4 linked regions of the Drosophila melanogaster genome follow. The protein of the gene in region 1 interacts with the protein of each later gene in a pairwise test. Each region holds a gene or a part of one and is shown on either strand. Other genes may lie near its edges.

Region 1 (5,371 bases):
AGCAATCTGGGTGCGATTCCGCACTTGGGTTTTAAATATTTGATGACTTTCACACCGAATCATGCCAGAATCAAGCCAATAGCACAGAAAAAGGACTTCTCCTTCCGTTTTGCCGTTTTTGCATTCGATTCGGGACTGCGAGGCTATGTAAGAACGTGAAGGAGAATGCAAAACAATTTGGTAACAAGCAAAATGCATCAAATCTCATGGCCACGGAGCCCTTCCAAGCTGGGTGAATCGGAATACGATTCGGAATCTCGAGTGGCGAGTGGCGGCGAGGGGAGAAACCAAAGCTGTTGCAAAAACATGTCACATTAAGTGCACAGATAGAGGTTCTGGCGGACGGACTGATGGACGGATGGACAGATAGACGGGAAGTCTGAAGGAAGTTGAGTGCTTTTATTGCTGCCGGAATTCTGCGTGCCATTTGCCTTGGTAGTTGAAGCTGCAAGTTGGCTTTCGCCTTGTCTTTTTCCCTACACTTGAGCCAGCAGCTCTTGTTTATGCAATTGTACTTAAATCCAATGGTTATGTTTCAGCTGCAGTTGCCATAATGGCCGGAATCAAGTGGAATCTACATCTGCAGTCGATATTAATACTGCTCCGGCGAAGCATCGAAAGAATGCTTTAGATATCTTCCGGTGCAGGGTAAACTTTGAAAACTCCAAAAAAAATATTCACATTTTCCCAACCTTGGGCATCAACTATTGTACAAATCCAAGTAGTCTATATTTGTTAAATAACTTTAAAGTTTAAGCTAGGAATATATTTGGCAGTAATATCTTTGCACTCCGTTAAAACATTCTCTGATCGATTGTCTTTGTTTATCTACAAAGCTGAAGTATCAGTTGGAGTATCTTTGGCGCACAAATCACTCGTCCGTCCCATGAAAGTTGACGGGACACCAACCTCCTCCAGACACTTTAACCGTAATTAACACGGAGCTTTCCCCATCGTTTCGTTGCCATCAGTTTCCCTTCATTATGCAATACGCTTTTATTCTGTGGAAAAATGCAGGGAGAAGTGGAGCGTCGGGGCAGGACAGATTGCCAAGGGAGTCTCCTTCTGCATTTCAATGGACCTCTGTCAGTGTTTCGCCTTTTGCCGACGCCTTTCGAAAGCATTTCCTCTTCATTCACTTAATTAGTCAGTACCTTTGCTGACGCAAAATCCCAATTATGCTGGTATATTTTCAAAGCAATCATATTTGGCAGTACCAGGGATCAGATCAAAGCTGAGATAAATCCATGAAATATACTTAGTGTAAACGATACGTGATTAAATATTATTGAAAGGAGCTATGCTGGTTAAGGAGCTTCCTTCACTTGTTTCATTTTTAATAACATATCTCATATCAAGACCATATGTATATTCCAAATCATATTGGCTTAAAGTGCTGATCTCTGGAAAATTCATGAACAACATCCCACTCCACACAGACCGCATATAAGAGGAACTGCAAGTAAACGAGCCACAGGAAAACTCCAGCGGATCTACGAGCGTGGAAATCGAAGGTGACGCTCCACCACATTGTGGTCACAATGGTTATTACCAGAAAGAGGTAGCAGTTGTCGCCCAGATCGCCGTACACCCACGAATTGGCGCCCACTTCACGTACTCTGTGATTGAATATAAAGGCCAAGCTCATGCTAACCAAAATCGCTGAAATATCGAATACATCAGGTAACCATTAATGGAAAATATAACTTTTGCTTACCAAAAACTGGACCTCCTATTATGGCGGCGAAGGCCATCCGCCCATAGCCCTGCAAGGCCAGCTGGTAATTGGCTATAATGTCCGGAGTGGCATTGGAGACAGCCTCAAAGGTGACCGCCATGAAGCTCTCGGACAGATTGAATACGATGCCCACAATCTCGGAGAGCACTTCCAGTTCTGTGACGGCGAGCCAGAGCGTCACCATGGAACTGAAAAACGTGAGGATAATAAACAGCTAGGAAGGAAGGTTGATACCCATTCGAGTCTAATCAGCACGCAGTGGTGCTGCTTTGGATCTTCTTACGTGGTGATAGCTGGGCGGCACATCCGTTCGAGAGTGCAGGAAGATCACAATGGCTAGCGGGACTGTAAGGCACGGCGACCACATGGAGATGCTGAAGTCGAGGGTTATGTGCCAGGTTTTGTAGACGCTGGACACCCCAGCTGAGGGTCAGCGAGGTTTAGGAATCAAATGCACTTCTGATGTACTCCCGCATACCTACAGTGCACCAGGGTAATGACCACGAAAGGATTCGTCACGATCTGCGTGCAGTTGAGCAGCTTACTCCAGCCGTGCTTGATCTTTTCGTAGTCCACCACGGGTATGAAGAGCTGCAGTACGAACACCAGGGGGCACCTGGCAATCAGGTATATTCGATTGCTCCACCCACCCAGCTGCCACGCCTCTGCATCAACGGGATTGAGAGACTGGAAGAACTCCGTGAAAAGTTGTAGGTTTTTAGGATTCTCCGAGTCATGGAGCGCTGTGCGATTTAACTCGTAGTCAACGTGTTCGGATCGTCTTTCTGGGATGGGGGTTACAAAGTAGCCACTACTGGTCATATTTGAGAAGTGGTTTCCCGTGTCTCTGGACCGACGGTACTTTGTGGTGTCCTTAATCCCAATGTCATCCTGCTCTTCCCAAGATATTAGCTTTCTTATCTTTGCATTTATTTCTGTTATTGGTGGAGGAGTTAGGCCCTCCAAATAGTCCAGTTCTCTTCGAAGTTCTGAATGGTAAATGTAATTAGTTGCTATTATAACTAGAGTAATTAAAAAATTGGGGGAATATTCCTTACTTCTGATGTAGTACCGCAGCAACGCCAAATCAGCTATATTAATAGCCACGTAAACAACGTAAATTAAGAAGAGCACTGAAAGTAGGTTTTAAAGATCAGTGAGTTGAGGCAAATCCAAAATAGATTCCTACCTATACCCTCTCCCAGGGTCACTGCTCCCTCCTTGATCATCACAAACCTCAGGACCTCCACACCCAGGAGAAGAAACAGTAGATCTCGCAGAGTGGAATGTCCGTTCATCCTAAAGGGTCTCAGAAAACACACTGTACCTCCACTCAGCAGAATGATGGCCAGAGTATTACCCACAGTTATGGTAAAGATGGGTGCATCGGCCCTCACGGGCATCAGATTAGCTATTATTTCTGGACTGCAGTTACCAAAAGCCAGAAAGGTAACTCCTGCCAGGTACTCATTCATGTGCAGCTTTAGCGAGATGATCTTGAGGACTGGAGAAAAACTTAATGCAGGATTTCGAATGAGCAATCAGAGGAATGTGCACTTTATCCAAAAACTTACTAGGTACCAATATTGAAGGACATCAGCCACAGAAACGCCACACATATGAAGGCAAACAGCAACATGAACAGGACCTCTGTTGCTTTGTCATCGATGTCAATTGAGCAGTACATCATCCTGAAGTAATTGAAAAAGTTTATAATGCGCTTGCAGTCACTCACTTGGGTGGCCATCCTGCAGCGATAGTTGTACGGAAGTCTCATCACGGCCCTACAACTCATCTGTAAGAGCCAACAAATGCTATGGCCACCAATTTCTCACTGTATTCTCACAATATCTTACATTCTTGATGAAGTAGTGAAATTCGTGGTCCAGTTCTGTTATGTTAAATTTAGTCCTTTTCGTTCGCCCACTCATTGTATTCAAATTCTTCCCTCAAAGTCAAAAGAATATGCTGAGAATTAAATTTAGAACTGACGAGAATCGAACAACACTCCTTGACTTTTTCTACAAAGACATTCAGGTGACCGGCCAATGTGTCGACCCCAGCACATTGATAAAGCATTTATTTAGAAGAACCACATTCATAAAACGCTGAATAAATCAACACCCGAAGATTGCGATTGTGACGAGGCTCACGCCAAGGGTCTTCCCCTAATACGAACCTAAACATGTGCCATCGACGAGGGCTGTAAATTAGCCATGAACCACCAGATAAGATGGCAACCCATACGCATAACTGATGCTATATAAGCGCCACGGCGACCCACGATCTCCATCAAGCGATCGTCAACTATTACAGCTGGTAATCATGGTTTCCAAAGTGGCTCTCCTCCTCGCCGTCCTGGTCTGCAGCCAGTACATGGCCCAGGGCGTCTATGTCGTCTCCAAGGCGGAGTGGGGTGGTCGCGGCGCCAAATGGACCGTAGGCCTGGGCAACTACCTCAGCTACGCCATCATCCACCACACCGCCGGCTCCTACTGCGAGACCCGTGCCCAGTGCAACGCCGTGCTGCAGAGCGTCCAGAACTACCACATGGACTCCCTGGGCTGGCCCGACATCGGCTACAACTTCCTGATCGGCGGAGACGGCAACGTGTACGAGGGGCGTGGCTGGAACAACATGGGCGCCCACGCCGCCGAGTGGAACCCCTACAGCATCGGCATCAGCTTCCTGGGCAACTACAACTGGGACACCCTGGAGCCGAACATGATCTCCGCCGCCCAGCAGCTGCTCAACGACGCCGTCAACCGTGGCCAGCTCAGCTCCGGCTACATCCTGTACGGTCATCGCCAGGTCAGCGCCACCGAATGCCCCGGCACCCACATCTGGAACGAGATCCGCGGCTGGTCCCACTGGTCTGGCTAGGTCCTTGACACAAACCACGCTAAATAAAGTTAAACGCACCATAATCGTGTTTTTTGTCTTGGCAATACATTGGTTTATTAGGCAGTCGGGCGAATCTGAATATTGTCTTGGAAGCCATGGACCCACTGCAACTCTATGGCCGTAGTGTAAACTAGGAACAACACGAATAGGGACCACATGAACAGCCCAGCGGATCGGCGGGCAACAAAGTTGAAGGTGAGGCACCACCACAAGGTGGTTGTGATGGTTATCACCAGGAATATGTAGATGGTTACACCGTCATCTCCATACAAGACTACTTGACCGCGGGAGTTGAGTTTCTTCTGTAAGACCAATTCGATGCCCACATTGACTGCCAAACCTGCGGGAAAAGACTGTTTTACTTATGACCTCTACAATGACCTTAAAGCAGAAGCCAAATCATTGATTGATGATTGATGAGCATGATTCCTAGAGAAACTGGTTTTCTGAGATTTGAAAACAATTTTAGATGCTGAAAATTGACATTGGATAGTCTAGCACGCAATTATCGACTTTTACCACTAACTATAAACAGAACCACCGATGATGGCTCCAAAAGCCATCTTTCCGTATCCATGCTTGGCGAGATGTGCGTAGGCTATTAAGTCAGCTGTGGCAGCGGACACCGAGTTGAAGGTGATGCTCATGTAGGACGGGGCCAGATCAAAGACGACCCCAATTATGGATATCAGCGCATCCATTTCCCAGGCACAAATCCAAAAGAATATA
Region 2 (4,631 bases), on another chromosome or scaffold:
GAACATCCTGGATCCTCACTGATCCCCTCGGATGATTCCGCATGGTGACTATCGTTACCTGGAGGTCCTTGGTGGCCGATTTAACCTTTTCATACTCATCACCATCGCAGAAGATCAAGCGGGGCTTTGTGATTCCAAAAAGTTTGGCGATGCATGCCTCTTCGTAGGCATTGTGAAGGGCGTGTAAGGGGGTTCCGTTGAAGAAGCATGCATATGCCACAGCTGATTGGTGAGTCGTGTGTCTGCCCATGACCCCCACTATATCAGTTTGCCCCAAGCCCATATTCCTCATATAACTAGCCACTCGCATCGCATTCATATGAAGATCTTCGCGGGTGAGTACGATGTCCTCCGTGATCGAGATCTGGTGGTTCAATGCAAATCTATACATTTCTCTGATTTCGAGAGAAAAGAAACTCACCTGGGCAATGAGTTTCGGATTGTTTACCATATCCCCAAAGATTATCTCTCCGATTGATAAGTTTGGCGAAAATAAACTTGGTGCTTCACGACCACTCCAGATCTTGAGTTTATCATCATAAGTGCACATCGCGTTCAATAGTTTTTGTTTTACTTCCATTTCAGCCATTATAAGAAAATGCTGAGTCGATTATTAGTTTTTAAGTAAATTATGCTATTATAACCCCTCGTATCAGCAATGCTATTTCACAGCAATAATGTACATAATTACGAAAGATCAGCTGTATTAACGATTTTGTAATCGATATGTGTTTCGGTATTATTTTACTCGGCGAATATGAAAAAATGCCTAAGATGGCGAACCTCTTAAAAAGCTTACGATAAATACAACAAATACAAATACAAATACAATAAAAATACAAATACAACATAAACATTACAATAATTAAATATGCAAAACTAATTCTTCTCCATAATTCGTAAAAACTCAGCTTTTGTGGCCGCTCTGTTTGCTTTTCTATTGCCACTCTGAATAATGTGATCCACAATCAAAGCTCCTCCATTCAACTGCTTAAATTTGGCAGGTATACGTTTCCTCACATACTCCACAACATCCTGGGCCTCTAGTTGGGTTCCTTGTTTCTTGACCACTGAAGCGGCTGCCTTATCTCCATAAACGGGATCCCAAATGCCAAAGACACAAGCTTCCACAACATTTGGCATTTCAGCGATGACACTTTCAATCTCGCTGGGGTAATACATGATGGTCTGATACTTGAGCATATCCTTCAAGCGATCGATAATGAACAAATATCCATCCTCGTCCATGTAGCCCAGGTCCCCGGTGTGAAACCAGTTCTCCGAGTCCTGCATCTTCTTCGTTTCTTCCGGATTCTTGTAGTAACCAGGCCATTTCTGACCATTATTGAAGCATATCTCGCCCACGACATTGGGTCCTTGTGCTTCACCCAGCTCGTTGACTATTTTGATTTGAATGCCTCTAACCGGACGACCCACTGAATTGGGTTTCTCATCGAAGTTGAAGTTTAGGCATCCGGGGCTGTTCAACTCGGTTAGTGTATAACTGAAATTTACACATTCGTTGCTTAGACGGCTGCGAATTTTGTTCTGGACTTCCAGTGAGCAGTTTGATCCGCCGTAAAAGAAATACTTCACGGATGATAGGTCCGCCGCATAGAATTCCGGGCAATTGGACAGCATCGCCAATTGCGAGGAACTTACGAACACCATCGATATTCGATACTTCTCAATTAGGCCACACAAATTGGCAGGATCAAAGTCACAATCTTCAATTATACTAGTCAAGCTAAACACGGCTGCATTGATGGTCATCGTGATGCCTGATGCCCAATCCAAAGTGTTTGGGTTATACTGAATAATCGAGCTATCCACGGGTCTGAAAATAATAAATTAGATGGGTGTATAAAATTAAGGTGGTAATATTTACAGAAAACTCCCAATAATCTGGTGACTATTGCTAATGGTGACTGCCTTTGGAAGGCCGGATGTTCCCGAAGAGCTAAGAATGGCCAGTAGTTGATCAGTACCGTCTTTCAGTCGCACTGGTCGAAAGTTCATCTCCACGGGAGTGGTTAAAATATCCTGAATTCTCAATATTCCTGCCGGGTGATTACGCATGGTTACTATTTGTACCTGAAGGCCTTTGGTGGCTGCTTGAACTTTCTCAAACTCATCTCCATCACAGAAGATTAAGCGTGGCTTGGTTATTCCGAACAGTCTCTCGATGGCAGATTGTTCGTATTCGGTGTGTAGGGCATGATAAGGAGTTCCATTAAAGAAACAGGCATAGGCCAGAGCAGTCAAGTGAGTGGTCAACCTGCCAATGACTCCCACAAAGTCACCTTGCTCCAGACCCAGTTTACGCATATAACTTGCCACCTTCATCGCGTTTGTCTGGATGTCTTTCCAGGTCAGCTCAGTGTTTTCTGTAACTGAAATCTAAAGGTTTTGTTTCGATGAATATAAATATTGTTTCTTGTAAATTTATTAAGTACCTGGGCAGTGAGCATAGCATTGCGCTCCATTTGTTGAAAGATAATTTCTCCAATGGACAAATCTGGTGAGAATAAACTGCGTTTTTCGCCACCACTCCAGATCTTTAAGTTTTCATCAAAGGTGTTTCTTGTCTTAAAGGGCGATTTTCCCGCTTGCAATTCACCCATTTTGTATAATACGTTAAGAATTAAAATGAAGGCTTATAATTTATATATCTCTCTAACTTCTGTGATAGTAATACCATAAAAACGAAAGTGATAGACGCAAGAACTCGAATTTAAAGCTTCAAGTTAGGTCTCACCATTATCAACTGACTTATTATATCGATATTTCTTTGAGCTAAGAAAGAGATACTAAAAGTTTTGTTCATAAGTGAATTTATTTCATCTACCAATCAATTATTCCGTCACTGTTGCCATACTAATCATATTTACTATTTATGTTTACTTAAGCAATGATTAATTGCCAAGACTGTTTTCATGACCGCTGATAATCCGATTTTGAGATTGCATCCCATAGTAAAATACTCAAAAAGATGTCGAAAAGTGTTTCAGCAAATGGTCAGCTGGGCTGGACTGGAATCTCCACCACCACCAACAATAAGATTATGATAATGGGCAGCCGTCAAAGAGAGGATTATGGGTTTTGGAAAACAAGTGGATTAAGGGGTTGACAATTGGGGGAATGTGCTGTCAGGAATTTGGCTTTTGCGTTTTGCATTTGTTTTTACGATTATGACCGACATGGATGGATCGGAATCGAAATCGTTCAGTTCTGCTCTGTCCCATTATGATGCGCTATTTTGAGTGACCCTGTCCTCCGCAAACATAGCGAAACTAATAAGTAAAATGTGTTTTTCAAACATTGATTTCGGCCAGTGCGTGGTGGGTGGTGTTTTAGGAAACACACACACACACACCCCCTTTTCGAGACGACAACATTTGTCATAAGGCCAAGACAGCCTCAACAGTTGTTGGCGATTATCATTTTGACAGTTGCTTCTCGCTTCGCTTTTGTTTCAGTTCCCTTGGCTGCGTTTTGGGCCTTGATTTATGCATTTTTAAGCGGTTCACTTATTGTTTCTGCGCACAAATATGGCCAAGTATCTCGGTATCTGCGAGATACAATCCCCTAGTCAGCCCTTGCCGCGTAATTTGTTGATTTATTGCAAGGCTGCCACTGCAGGCATCTTCATTAAGCAGCACTAGCTTCCGTTTTTTATCCGGCCACGCCCGTCGTCTTGCAGCGCCCACGATTCGCTTTCATTATCATTATCCTGCCGGCATTGTCCTTAGCCTCGTTTGTCATGCTCGGTGCGTCTGCTTAAGTTTTCGCACGCTCCAACGCCTCGGCTTCCTTGGCGCAGCCTTCAAGATGTGGAAATTGAATTGAAAACGTGCTGAAGCGTTAAATGCTCTTGTGTCAACTGCTTCCAATCCACCCAAACCTCCTCGCCCCCAAATGTCCTTCTGTCCATCACATTTCGTCCTGTGTGTGTGGCGACATATGAGAATTTGTAACCTCAGCACAAGCTGGTCCGAAGTTGCGGCTGCGTCGGCCGTTCTCCGCTCGCCCCCCAAAAAGTTCCCGGCCAAGTGGCAAGTGGCAAGCAAGCGGGCCATAATTAATTCCAAATTGCATCCGCAAAGGATTGCCAAGTTTCGCTGGCCAAAACTTATCGAAGGTACGATGCAGAGTGTGTTGCTTAAGGGATTACCGAAAATCTGCTTTTCAATATTGCTCATCTCTTTAAGAGCTAAGTAACTGTTCAGGAGCAAGAAAATTCTTACCCAATGTAATTTATTTGTAATTTTTTTTATATTTATAGCCTAAAAGTATGCTATTGCGTTTTATAAAGTTCCATATTTGGCCGGTAATGATGATGGCGCTATTCTACTTTGTACTAAAATTATATCGGCGACATCTAGCGAACATTGTGTGAAGTCGCAGCAGCTACGAAACGCCATCTGCTGGTCGAGCTGAGTTTCATAGCTATTAAACTATGTCAGTCAGAAACGTGTACAACAAATATATGCAAGGAAGTCTGTAGTCAAGCTGTCTAAAGTGTCTGTCTAGACAGCTGGTGGTTGCGGTTCAATCCCAACTTTGGTCAGCACATTTAGTTTGTTTTTGTTTTAAATTAAAATATTGTTTTTTTTATATACTTCATTCAT
Region 3 (5,139 bases), on another chromosome or scaffold:
ATTATAACGAATTTTTTAGATTTTTACGAAGGGAACTTTAAAAAAAGGTGTATTTTATCATACTTTAACGAAAAACTAATTATCCATTTAACTTGAATATCTGACAAACCCCATTCAATAGCTAGCACAGCCATTTTAGGCATTCAGGTGAGTGCAGTGTATAATTACAATGGCTGACTAACTGAGGAAGCGAGACAGACAGAGCGAAAGAGAAGGGGACATAGCCAAAGACAATGGACACAACCAGTACATAGAGTGCGACAGGGAGCGGTAGAAGACGAGAGAGCGAGAGGGGAAAACCAGGTCCAAATAAATGGAACAGTTGCAGTCCATCCATCTATCCATCCAGCAAGCCCTTCGTCACTCACTCAGTTCGTCAAGTTGGGGCTGGAAAAATGTGCGCCATTGTTTCCAACTTGCAATTGTTTGCTGACAATTGGCAAAAAGGCAGCAAGTACTCCTCTTTTCTCAGACTTTTCCACTATCTCCCATGTAGGAAAGGCTTAGGTCATTAGAGTCAAATTAAATTAGAGTGCTAGTAGGTAGTTTCATCTTATAGCAGGTACACACTGTTTGCATTTGTCATTAGTTCGTTGTTAATTAAAACGAAGCCAAAGTGCCAGACGACAGAACTCGACACGACAGAGTGAATGGAAATCAAAATGCGCTAAAAACCGCCCTGAAACAATGGCAACACCTGCGTAATGCCCTGGCCCACCCAAAACCCTTTACACAAAAAGTCCTGGAACAAAGCCCGACCAAATGCGAATGGAGTTGGGACTCCGGAGTTACGAGCCGTTGTCCTGGCAACGCCACCACCACCAAAGCAAATTAACAAAACAATAATGTAGACACGAAAAATTGCAAAGCAATAGTAGGCACTTTGCAGGACTATATACTCCTAAAGTCCAGGTGTCATCATGCACAGATATAAAAAAATTAATTTTGGAAATGGTATTTCATGTGGGTCAAAACACTCAATCGTTAATTGTCATTCCAGTACAGAACGTGTTTTTTAGATCAAAATGTAGTACTATGTGCGAATCTACAACAGACACTACTTTAATCTTTGTCTGAGCCAAAGATAAAGTGTCCCAAAGTGGTCTGTCTGGACCAATTTTGGACTATGGCCACCTTGGTTAACATATCCACCATTTTGAGCTTGGGAATTGGCCAAAGGCGAATCGTAGTTGCGGGCCAGATGTCAGGCTCAGATCTCCACGGTTCAGCTCGATTCAAAAATAAATGTCCATTAAGATTAGTTGATTTTGCTTTCGATAGTTTGTTTTTCACCTTTTTTTTATTTTTTGGACGCTCTTTGCTGGTCTCTAAGCAAATGCGGTAAATAATCGAGAAACTCCCGAAAAGCTCACTCCCAATGGTGGCACCTCTTACCAGTAAAGAGACCGTCGTAGACCCCCACTTTACCCCCATTTTCCACTTGGCATTTCATGTAACACGAAACCTTCCCCAACCAGAAGCATTCCAATTGGAAACGCCCATCATGAGACTCGTTGTTTAGAGTGAAATGGCTATGGTGGCTTAGTAGCTACTCCGTTTATCTCGCTCGCACTCCCACGCAACACCTGCTCTGGTTGACCGCCCTGCCTCTGCATTCTGCATCCCTTTCTGTCTGACATTTTTTATCTCTGTTGCTCTCGTCTTTTTTTTCCTGACGTCGCAGTTCTTGGATTTTTTTTTATTCTTTCCTTCACGAAATGTCACCTGGTCGTTGGGCCTCTCTCTCACCAATACAACGATATTTTTGCTCTCAATTTTGAATTTGTTGTGGATGTAGTTTCTTTATAAACAGGCTTATAAAAAACATTTAACAAACCAATAAGAAAGAAAGCTCTCGGAAAAAGTATTAATCCAGAGCGAGAGAGAACACAAGCTTTTGCAGAGAGGATTTGCTGAGTATGTGTGTGTGTGCTTCTGTGGAGCGATACTGTTACATAGCAGCTGTCTCACCGCCCCACCTGCCACGCCCCCCGCCCCATTCGGTGACTGAAAGACTCGTTTTTTGGCTCGTGTGTTTTTGAAGAGAGCGCGCGCCAAGTTTTTAGTTACGCGTCGGAACGGATCCGTTGAATAGCCGCCAAAGCGCGCTTAGATGCAGCAACAGCCAACTTGGCCAAGAAGAGCCGATCAGCCAACAGCTAGCGACGGTTTTAGCCCCCTCACAAGAAACGCCAAGAAACAACCGATATTCGCAAAAAAAAAATACAAAGGATAATACTAAAAACATAAACAAACTGTTCTCGGTAAATATCCCAAAGTAAAAGTGAATCCTAAACAAACCAAACTTTTCTTTCCCATTTAACTAAATAATAAAACACAAACCAATTCAAAAAACAGTGCTCATATGATATCAACTTTCAACGCTCGTAAAGTGCTCATAGAAATGAAACAAAATACAAATCCAAATAAAGCAAAGCGATTTAAAAGTCTCATAAAGTTTTGAAATCCTAAGCTACTTATTTATCTTGCAAACTTCAAATCAAACAAGCTCCATTCTTTGTAGCATCAAAACATTGGATGCACCATAAGTATCTTATCGATGAATGGAAAGCAAACAACACACGTCAACATAAACTAGTGATATCCATTGGAAAAGTGTTCGTCAAACAGATTCTGTTACGAAACAGCTCAAGACCATAAAAGTCAACAAATTCAACATTTTATGGCAGTTCGGAAAGTGGAATTCATAAGCGACAAAAACAAACCATAAACACATATTATCCAAATAATTCGGTAGTATATTCCGCATATATGCTGCCATCGAATATTTGATTCCAATCGCCGGAAAACGGGAAATTTAAAGGAAATGCAGAACTCTTCGAGGTAACTTCATTGAAGCCAAAACATTATGGATTCTTTAGTTAGTTGTTTAACTTAGCTGCTTTGATTTTAATTAGCAAAACTACATATAAACACATTTACTTACATTTTTTTAGTAAAAGTAAAATATGATCTATGATAAAGTCTGATCCCATAGAACTGAGCATAAGTCTTAAAATTGTTTTCCAAGTTAATTGAAATTACTTCAAGTCAGAAAGCAGGTAAAAAATCAATTAAAAATCCCTTTAACCCTTTACAAATTTCATTTAATTCACCGCCGTTCAGAACGCAATTTGAACAACTTTTCTTGACCATCAATTAGGTAAACACGGAGAGAGCTCCACATAATGAGTCTGAGTGCGTCAGATACAAGGGGAATCAACAGATTTTATTGTTTGGATAATTTCAGGATTTTCCTCTTTTCATTTTCTGCGAAATCATTGTCGGAATCTTTATGCCCCACTCGAGGTGTGTTTACTTTTGCTTTCGATCTTCCACTTGAATTAAAGCAAGCTCGTTTTCTTTCTCTGAGGGGCATTCAAAGTTGTTTGGTTAACTTAATTTCGAAATATAAATGAAAACCGACTCAAGGTATGTGAAAAGCCGCAATGAAAAGAGAGTCAAAAGCACCAGAGAATTTGAAATGACGCAATTAGAGCAAATAATAGTAAAAGAAATAGGGAAAAACAACGTATGTTTATTAATATATTTACACAAAATGTGACAACAATTGAATTTAATGTGACGCGCCCCCATCATATAGAAATCGACTTTGGACCAGCACACAAAAAACCCAATTGTGCAAACAGAGTTTTCTGAAATTATTTTGCGCACCAGATGTCAATCGAATATTTTTACGCCATTCTTTTGGCCATTGTGTTCGCTTTATAAATTTGCTCAAAAAAACAGGCATAATCCAAAGAAGAGTATGAAAAAATTCTAATTAATACCCGGCTGTATCAGCACACATATGGTTAGCTGACTTTGTATCGGTTCTTTTTCTTTTCGATAGCCCTTTGGATAGCCCTTGGCACAAACTTGACACTAAACCTTGGAGGAGCAGGGTATGTGGTTATCGAGACACTGGCACGTTTACGAGGCGATTGTTGCGAGTGTGAAAGTTCTTAATTACAAACATTAGGGGGCCCAGCGACTTAGGGCCCTGAGAAGATCCGATCGCAGCGGGCGGGCAAGACGACACTTTTGAATGGAGGGTCTGCTGGGACCGAAAACCCGGTGCGTATCCGCGATACATTTCAACACAAAGTGGAGACACTTAAAGCTCTACCTGTGTTGAAGACGAGGTGGAAGACTGCAGACCGCGAGACTCCTCTTCGCCGCTAAAGAATGAGCAGAAGAATATGGCTGGGGGAGAGATCTCGGGCTCAGCATGTGGCTAAGCCGATCATAATTCTTGTTTGACATACCAACAAACGGATGAACAAATGAACGCGAAGCAGCAACAACACGGCCAACTTGGTCGGGGGTTACGAGTGGATCTATATGGCCCCCGAAACTCAAGTGGCCAGCGGGTTAATTTTACTCCTACTGCGATACGATACGAAGTCCGAAACAGAAGAACGGCTTCAGCACTCGATTTCCATGAGAAAGAGTCGGACATAAGGTGCCTCTGGTGGGTTATCTATTAAGGCTACTAGATTAACACCCTGAGAAGACCCACGCTTTTGGGTTTAACGGTTACATTTCCGTTACAAATAAATATCGGAGCTGCATTTCGGTCTGCGTGGAGGTGCAGCGAATCAAAAGGAGGAGCTGGCATATTCACAGCAAATAAAAATATCTGGAGTGCAATTTGTGCACAGCTGGTGGTGCAACCGTCGATTCGGATGGTGGCCCTGTGGTGCAACTGATACTGCAACTGCGACACTGCACCACATCGGAACAAGTGTTATGTCCACATAGTCATTTTCGGTTTTATTGCCATTTCAATTACTAGAATAATCACAAAATTAAATTAGTTCGAAAATAAAAATCCAAACATAAATGCAACTTCATATCAATTGATATATGCGTAGTGTTTTCAAAATATGAAATTTAGCGTATACCTTGAGTGGAGGCACAAATAAACATAATCAATTCATTTTTCTCAGTGTATTCTGCCAATTCGCAACATAAAAAGGAGGAGCAAAAATATGGAGAGCAACTTGACAACACAGAAATTTGTTTGCACTCCATAAGGATTACAAATATGCGTGTCCCTTTGCTAACCGCTCCCCGTTCCCAGCTCCCCCTTTTCTTTTAATATAAATTTCATGCTTAATACGCATGCTTGGGCAA
Region 4 (5,212 bases), on another chromosome or scaffold:
AAACCAATAATAAGTCCGACTGATCCATTAGCTAATCCTACTTATCGAACAGTATCAAACCGAAAGCTCCTAAACACTTTGAATGTACAACACCACCCAATATCTATTTTATTCTTGGAATGCAAATCTTGGTATAAATTTTGTAAAAATAAACGATCAATGTAAGACACTTGAAACTCGACATTTTCAGCAACAGAAGCCAATTTTTTTAACAAAGAAAGAAAGAATTTTTATAAACAATTTACAACTTATTGAAACGTTTTGGATGCTATTTTAAATAAAAAAAAGACTATCAATGATCTATAAACATTTCAGATTCATGGACAAGGTGGAAATTGTAACAGACCTTGAGTATTTAAATAAGTTTAGCTTAAGGAAAACGACACTAAATGTGCGTTGGAGCGCTACGACGATACCTGGATATAGTAAATTAGCTACAATAAAAACTTAAAAATTTGAAACCACGAGTAAGGTGAAATCCAAATACATAGCTGACATGTAATTAATGTCAATTCAAGTTAATAATTAATATGAAATAAACCTATTAGCAATAAGTAAATAAACGAGATAGTTTTCGGTGTCTAAATATGCATTTGATGTGATCATAACTAAGGCTATGTTTGTGATGGATGAAATAATGAACGCCAAGAATAGCCATCCATAAAAATAAGGGAATCAAGTAATAATATGACCTTAGCGATGTAAAGGAAGGCAAAGAATCTTTTTAGGAACAAATCGAAATCAATTTTACGAAATTTGTAGACTTATTATACTTTAAATTATTTTAAGTAATCAATCAATCAACGATTAACTTCAATTGAAAAGAAAAAAATCAAATCGAAATCTTATATTTTCCAAAATAATAAAAACGCGTATCACAATTAAGCATTAGATAGAACAAAACAGTTTGGCAAAATAAAAATAAATAAAAAAAAATAAGGGTAATAACTGGAAAATTGTGATTGGCTTGGCAGTTGCTCAGAAAGTTATTTTAACAATTGAATATGCGCTAAATAACAACATTGTTTATGAATGTCCTAGGTATAGGAAAAATAAAATGAACGTTTGAAGGAGAACCCAGAGCAATGATGAGAAGTACAAACCGAGAAGGATAAGGAAAATAATGAAGTTGTTCCATAAATAAATCAACGTAATCCAAGATAATGTAAGCCTCTAGATGTCAAATGTTTGAATTGGCGTTGCTCTTGACACCCAAATTTTCTTTGCATGTATCAAACTGAAAAACCAAATCCCATTCGTATTGATGTCTAAATATGGAAGTTGTTTGTGTAAATGTGTGAACGTAATTCAATAAAGGTTGCCCGATAACTGATTTTGCTTGAATGGGGGGGAGACTTTCTAACTTACCTTATAGAAAACGTCGGGAACATACTGCTTGTCCGTGGATTCACGCACGTAGCCCAGCTCGGGCGCATCCTTAGTGGGTATCAGACAATTATCGCGCACCAGAGCCATGCACTGAGCCGAAACCGCATAGCCTTCCATGTGCACTTGTTTGGTTTTATCTCCTGTAATGTTAAAAACTATTTTGGTACTAGTTCATTAAGCAGTATTAAATCGTGAATCTTACCTGTTACACAAATGGTCACAAACTTAGAGCCGAAGACGCCATTGGAGGCATATTTACACGGATTTGGATGTCGATTCTGCAGCTCGCCAGCTGTGATGCACTCCTGGGCCGTAATAAAGTGCGACTCGATGCCACGGATCTGTTTGACAGTGCCGATACTCGCATCGTCCGTGATGAGATCAGTGAAAATCCAACCAATCTATAAATGTCACAAAAGTCAATACTAATGCTACATAGCTACTGTCTATAACTAACTAACCTTCTTCAGTCCCAGCGCACTGGCTACGGCATCCACATCGTCGGCGAACTCATCCGGCTGAATATTGATCGAATCCCTGGTAGACTCTTGTGGCGGCTCATAAATGGCAGCCACCTTGGCCCGAATGCCCAACGGAACATCAGTGTGCTGCTCGTACGTCCCATACAGATATCCCATGCGCTGGTGTCCTGTGGTGCGCCAGTAGTTGAGGAAGCGCTCCACGATCTTAGTGTTCTCGAACATGACGTTGTCCACGTGGCGATATGTCTGACGATTCAGCGTAATGGCCGACGGCTGGCACTTGGAGCAGATGCCCTTGGGCCATGGTGGATGCTCGCGACATCCCGGCTTGATGCGGCAATTGATGTCGTCGAAGACAAAGTACTTGCCCTGATCCATGCCGGATGTCTGCTTTCGTATGTACGAGTGGAAGGACAAGTGCTTGATATTGTGCTCCTTCAGATAGGACTCATCATAGGGCTCCAGTGCGGAGCAGTGAACGCAACGGCCGTTGGCATTGTGGTGGCACCTACAAAAAGTTATAGGTTGATCAGTTTAATTTTACAATTAATTGTATAATCAAGGCCTACAGCTTGCTATCACGTTCGCGCTTAATGGTGCCATCAGCCTTGCTCAGAGCCTGGTCCACGTCATCTTCGATCACATTGAAGGATGGACGAGCGCTGTTTGGATTGCTAATGGTGCTAGTCTTGAACGCCTGACTGTCCAGGACAGTGGTGCTAGTGCGCTGAGAAGTGGTGAAAAATGCAGGTTAGTCCCCGATCGTTCTGCTCTATATGATCAACTTACGCGCGATGATGTGCCAGCCATCTGTTTTAAGTAGACCATGTCGCCATGCCTCAAGGAAGTCCCCACCAGCTGGGAGCCACTTGCCTGCAGCTCTGTGAGGAAGTTGCGCTCCTTGAAGAGACCAAATCCATCCACCTTCAGGGCATTCTGAACGCTGTCGTACAGATGCTTTAGATTTGACTTGGGCGAGATCTCGATGCGTTTGATGCCCTCCGCCGACTGAACGCGAATTAGCTGGAATTAACAAATGAATAACAGATTCTAATTAGTACTAGGACAGGTGAATTTGGCAATTTCTGATCCAACCGATTGTTTACATAACACAAACAGACGATGGCGCACAAAGGCGTAGGCGAAATTGCGCTTCTTGTAGATGAATTGCTCGAGCAGCAGTGGTGCACAGGCCATTTTCTGGACTTTCTGGACGGGTCACTGGGTGATGGGCGGTTGGGTGGGCTCTTGTGTGGGCGGTGGTGGGTGGTAGATTGGGTAAGGGGGATTGTCAAGTGTAGCTATTAGCTACCAAAGCCTGTAGGGCTTTTTGCTTAGTGTTTCGAACTGTACGTCATGAAGGCGCGAACTTGACTGCGGAAATTTATCTGGCATCGCAATTAAAAACAAATGCAATTCGTTGCCAAAATGAGTGCATAGTTAAAAAGAGAACTAATGCCTGTATATGTAAATTCGGATCTGTAATTGTATGAGCTTTAAATAAAAAATAAAACAGCATTTTGAAAGACAAGCTGCATGCAGTTTTAAAACAAAAAAATTATATTAAATTTGTATTTAAAATTTTAAGTTGTGCTATTTACTGGTATGTGCAGTTTTCTTATTTTACAAAACATATATTTCAAAAATTAATTTTACGCAGAGACATTTTTCTGAGTGTAGCACCCTATCAACCAGAAATTGCTTTATTAGACAGAAATATCCTCAAATGCATTTCCCCCAGGCGGATTGCAGCCAACAATTGTTAATAATTTATTTGGTTTTTGGATCGGTTTTTGGTCTCAAAACCCCCGCACACTCCCCTCAGTCCTACTGCCGCCTAGACTGCACTCTTTCAGTGGAAAATCTACAAGTCATGGTACCATTCAATTTCACCGCCAGCACCTTTGGCCGCATTTCGGGACTTGCAGTGGATTTGCACTGCCGGGAGTGCTTCCAAATGGGTTCATTATGCATTATATGCTTCGCTTTTGCCGGCTGAAATGCACTTTAAATATATTTTCCATACATTTAGGCAACAACAACAAACGCCAGCGAACTGGAAAACCGACATTGTTTGCCGGCTTTTTTGGTGGGTAGCTATAGGGAAACACTTGACCAATTTCACTGCACACACTTCACCAATAAGACATTCGCTTAGTTTCCACCCTAAATGCACTTTTTAATTTTTTATCAACAATTTACTTACAATTTTGTCATTTGGCATTGTAATTTTGTCTCTGTCTCTGTCGCACAGCTGTGGGGATGGCGATAGTCTGCCCAGAGGTGGAGAAAAATCGATTACTCCCGGATATCGATGTCTCTATGATCGGTTTCTTGTCAATTTAAAGCGATTGTTAACCAATCCCAATTAATCGAAAGGTGAGGCGGGCTATTTTAAAAAAGGGAAATTATCTATTAGCTTCAGGTAGACTTTGTGCACATTTATTAATATAGCGGCGTGTTATTCTACAATTAGACAACAATAAACCAATCGCATTCTAGTGGAAGACAGCGTATGAAAGCAGTGGGGGTGATCCCTCCATCGGACTTCAGTCGTACTTGAGGTTGCCCATGCAAATGTACTTGATGTCCACATAGTCGTCGATACCGTGTTTGGAACCCTCCCGTCCGACACCGGACTCCTTGACGCCACCAAACGGAGCCTCTGCTGCGGAGATGATGCCTTCGTTGACGCCGACCATGCCAACCTCCAGTCGCTTGGCCACCCGGAACACCTGCTGCAGATTCTCGCTGTAGAAGTAACCGGCCAGGCCTCTCCTGGTGTCGTTTGCCTTCTTTACCGCTTCTTCTTCGTCTCGGAACCGTATGATGGAGACCACTGGACCAAAGACCTCCTCCGAGTAGAGTTGCGCCGAGGGTGGCACATCTGTGACAATTGTGGGTGCGTAGAAAAGGGATCCCTTGTCGGGCAACGGCTGTCCGCCCAGAATAATGTTCGCCTTCTTCGACCTGGCGTCCTCCACAAAGCCACTGACTTTGTTGAACTGCATCTCGTTGATCAGTGGTCCGATTTGCACATCGCAACCCTGACCATCTCCGATCTTCAAAGCTTCCACGCGTTTTTTCAGCTGCCCAACAAACTTATCGTAGACGCTGTCCTGGACAAAGAATCTATTGGCGGAGACGCAGGTCTGTCCGCAATTCCTAAACTTCGAGGCCATGGCGCCATCCACTGCTTTTTCAATGTCCGCCGAATCGAAGACAATGAACGGAGCATTGCCGCCGAGCTCGAGACAAATCCTTTTGATGCCATCAGCAGAGTTCCGGAACAGCAGTTTGCCCACCTCAGTGGAGCCCGTGAAGGATATACCCCTAACATC

The links.
Region 2: the proteins of CG14744 (region 1) and CG5568 interact in a two-hybrid assay, tested with the Drosophila melanogaster proteins (one large-scale study listed by BioGRID).
Region 3: the proteins of CG14744 (region 1) and Sox21b interact in a two-hybrid assay, tested with the Drosophila melanogaster proteins (one large-scale study listed by BioGRID).
Region 4: the proteins of CG14744 (region 1) and Npl4 interact in a two-hybrid assay, tested with the Drosophila melanogaster proteins (one large-scale study listed by BioGRID).

What each region holds. Positions count from the first base shown.
Region 1 is NT_033778.4:8,705,700-8,711,070, forward strand, and holds CG14744 (uncharacterized protein), read right to left. Parts: upstream 3,788-5,371; 5' UTR 3,670-3,787; coding exon 3,595-3,669; intron 3,534-3,594; coding exon 3,313-3,533; intron 3,254-3,312; coding exon 2,928-3,253; intron 2,872-2,927; coding exon 2,797-2,871; intron 2,728-2,796; coding exon 2,221-2,727; coding exon of another isoform or gene 2,217-2,220; intron 2,162-2,216; coding exon 2,022-2,161; intron 1,953-2,021; coding exon 1,718-1,952; intron 1,663-1,717; coding exon 1,379-1,662; 3' UTR 689-1,378; downstream 1-688. Other genes in the region: PGRP-SC1a (peptidoglycan recognition protein SC1a), read left to right, coding at 4,064-4,621; CG14743 (uncharacterized protein), read right to left, coding at 4,699-4,982, 5,169-5,371.
Region 2 is NT_037436.4:5,869,591-5,874,221, reverse strand, and holds CG5568 (uncharacterized protein), read right to left. Parts: upstream 2,722-4,631; 5' UTR 2,625-2,721; coding exon 2,457-2,624; intron 2,401-2,456; coding exon 1,889-2,400; intron 1,838-1,888; coding exon 880-1,837; 3' UTR 704-879; downstream 1-703. Other genes in the region: CG18586 (uncharacterized protein), read right to left, coding at 1-364, 422-589.
Region 3 is NT_037436.4:14,128,263-14,133,401, reverse strand, and holds the start of Sox21b (Sox21b), read left to right. Parts: upstream 1-2,077; 5' UTR 2,078-2,264; exon of another isoform or gene 2,265-2,844; intron 2,845-5,139.
Region 4 is NT_033777.3:25,620,512-25,625,723, forward strand, and holds the start of Npl4 (nuclear protein localization 4), read right to left. Parts: upstream 3,235-5,212; 5' UTR 3,069-3,234; coding exon 2,967-3,068; intron 2,895-2,966; coding exon 2,661-2,894; intron 2,599-2,660; coding exon 2,441-2,598; intron 2,380-2,440; coding exon 1,851-2,379; intron 1,791-1,850; coding exon 1,592-1,790; intron 1,530-1,591; coding exon 1,369-1,529; intron 1,328-1,368; exon of another isoform or gene 11-1,327; coding exon of another isoform or gene 1-10. Other genes in the region: CG5071 (uncharacterized protein), read left to right, coding at 1-10; Ssadh (succinic semialdehyde dehydrogenase), read right to left, coding at 4,421-5,212. UniProt on the Drosophila melanogaster protein: May be part of a complex that binds ubiquitinated proteins and that is necessary for the export of misfolded proteins from the ER to the cytoplasm, where they are degraded by the proteasome.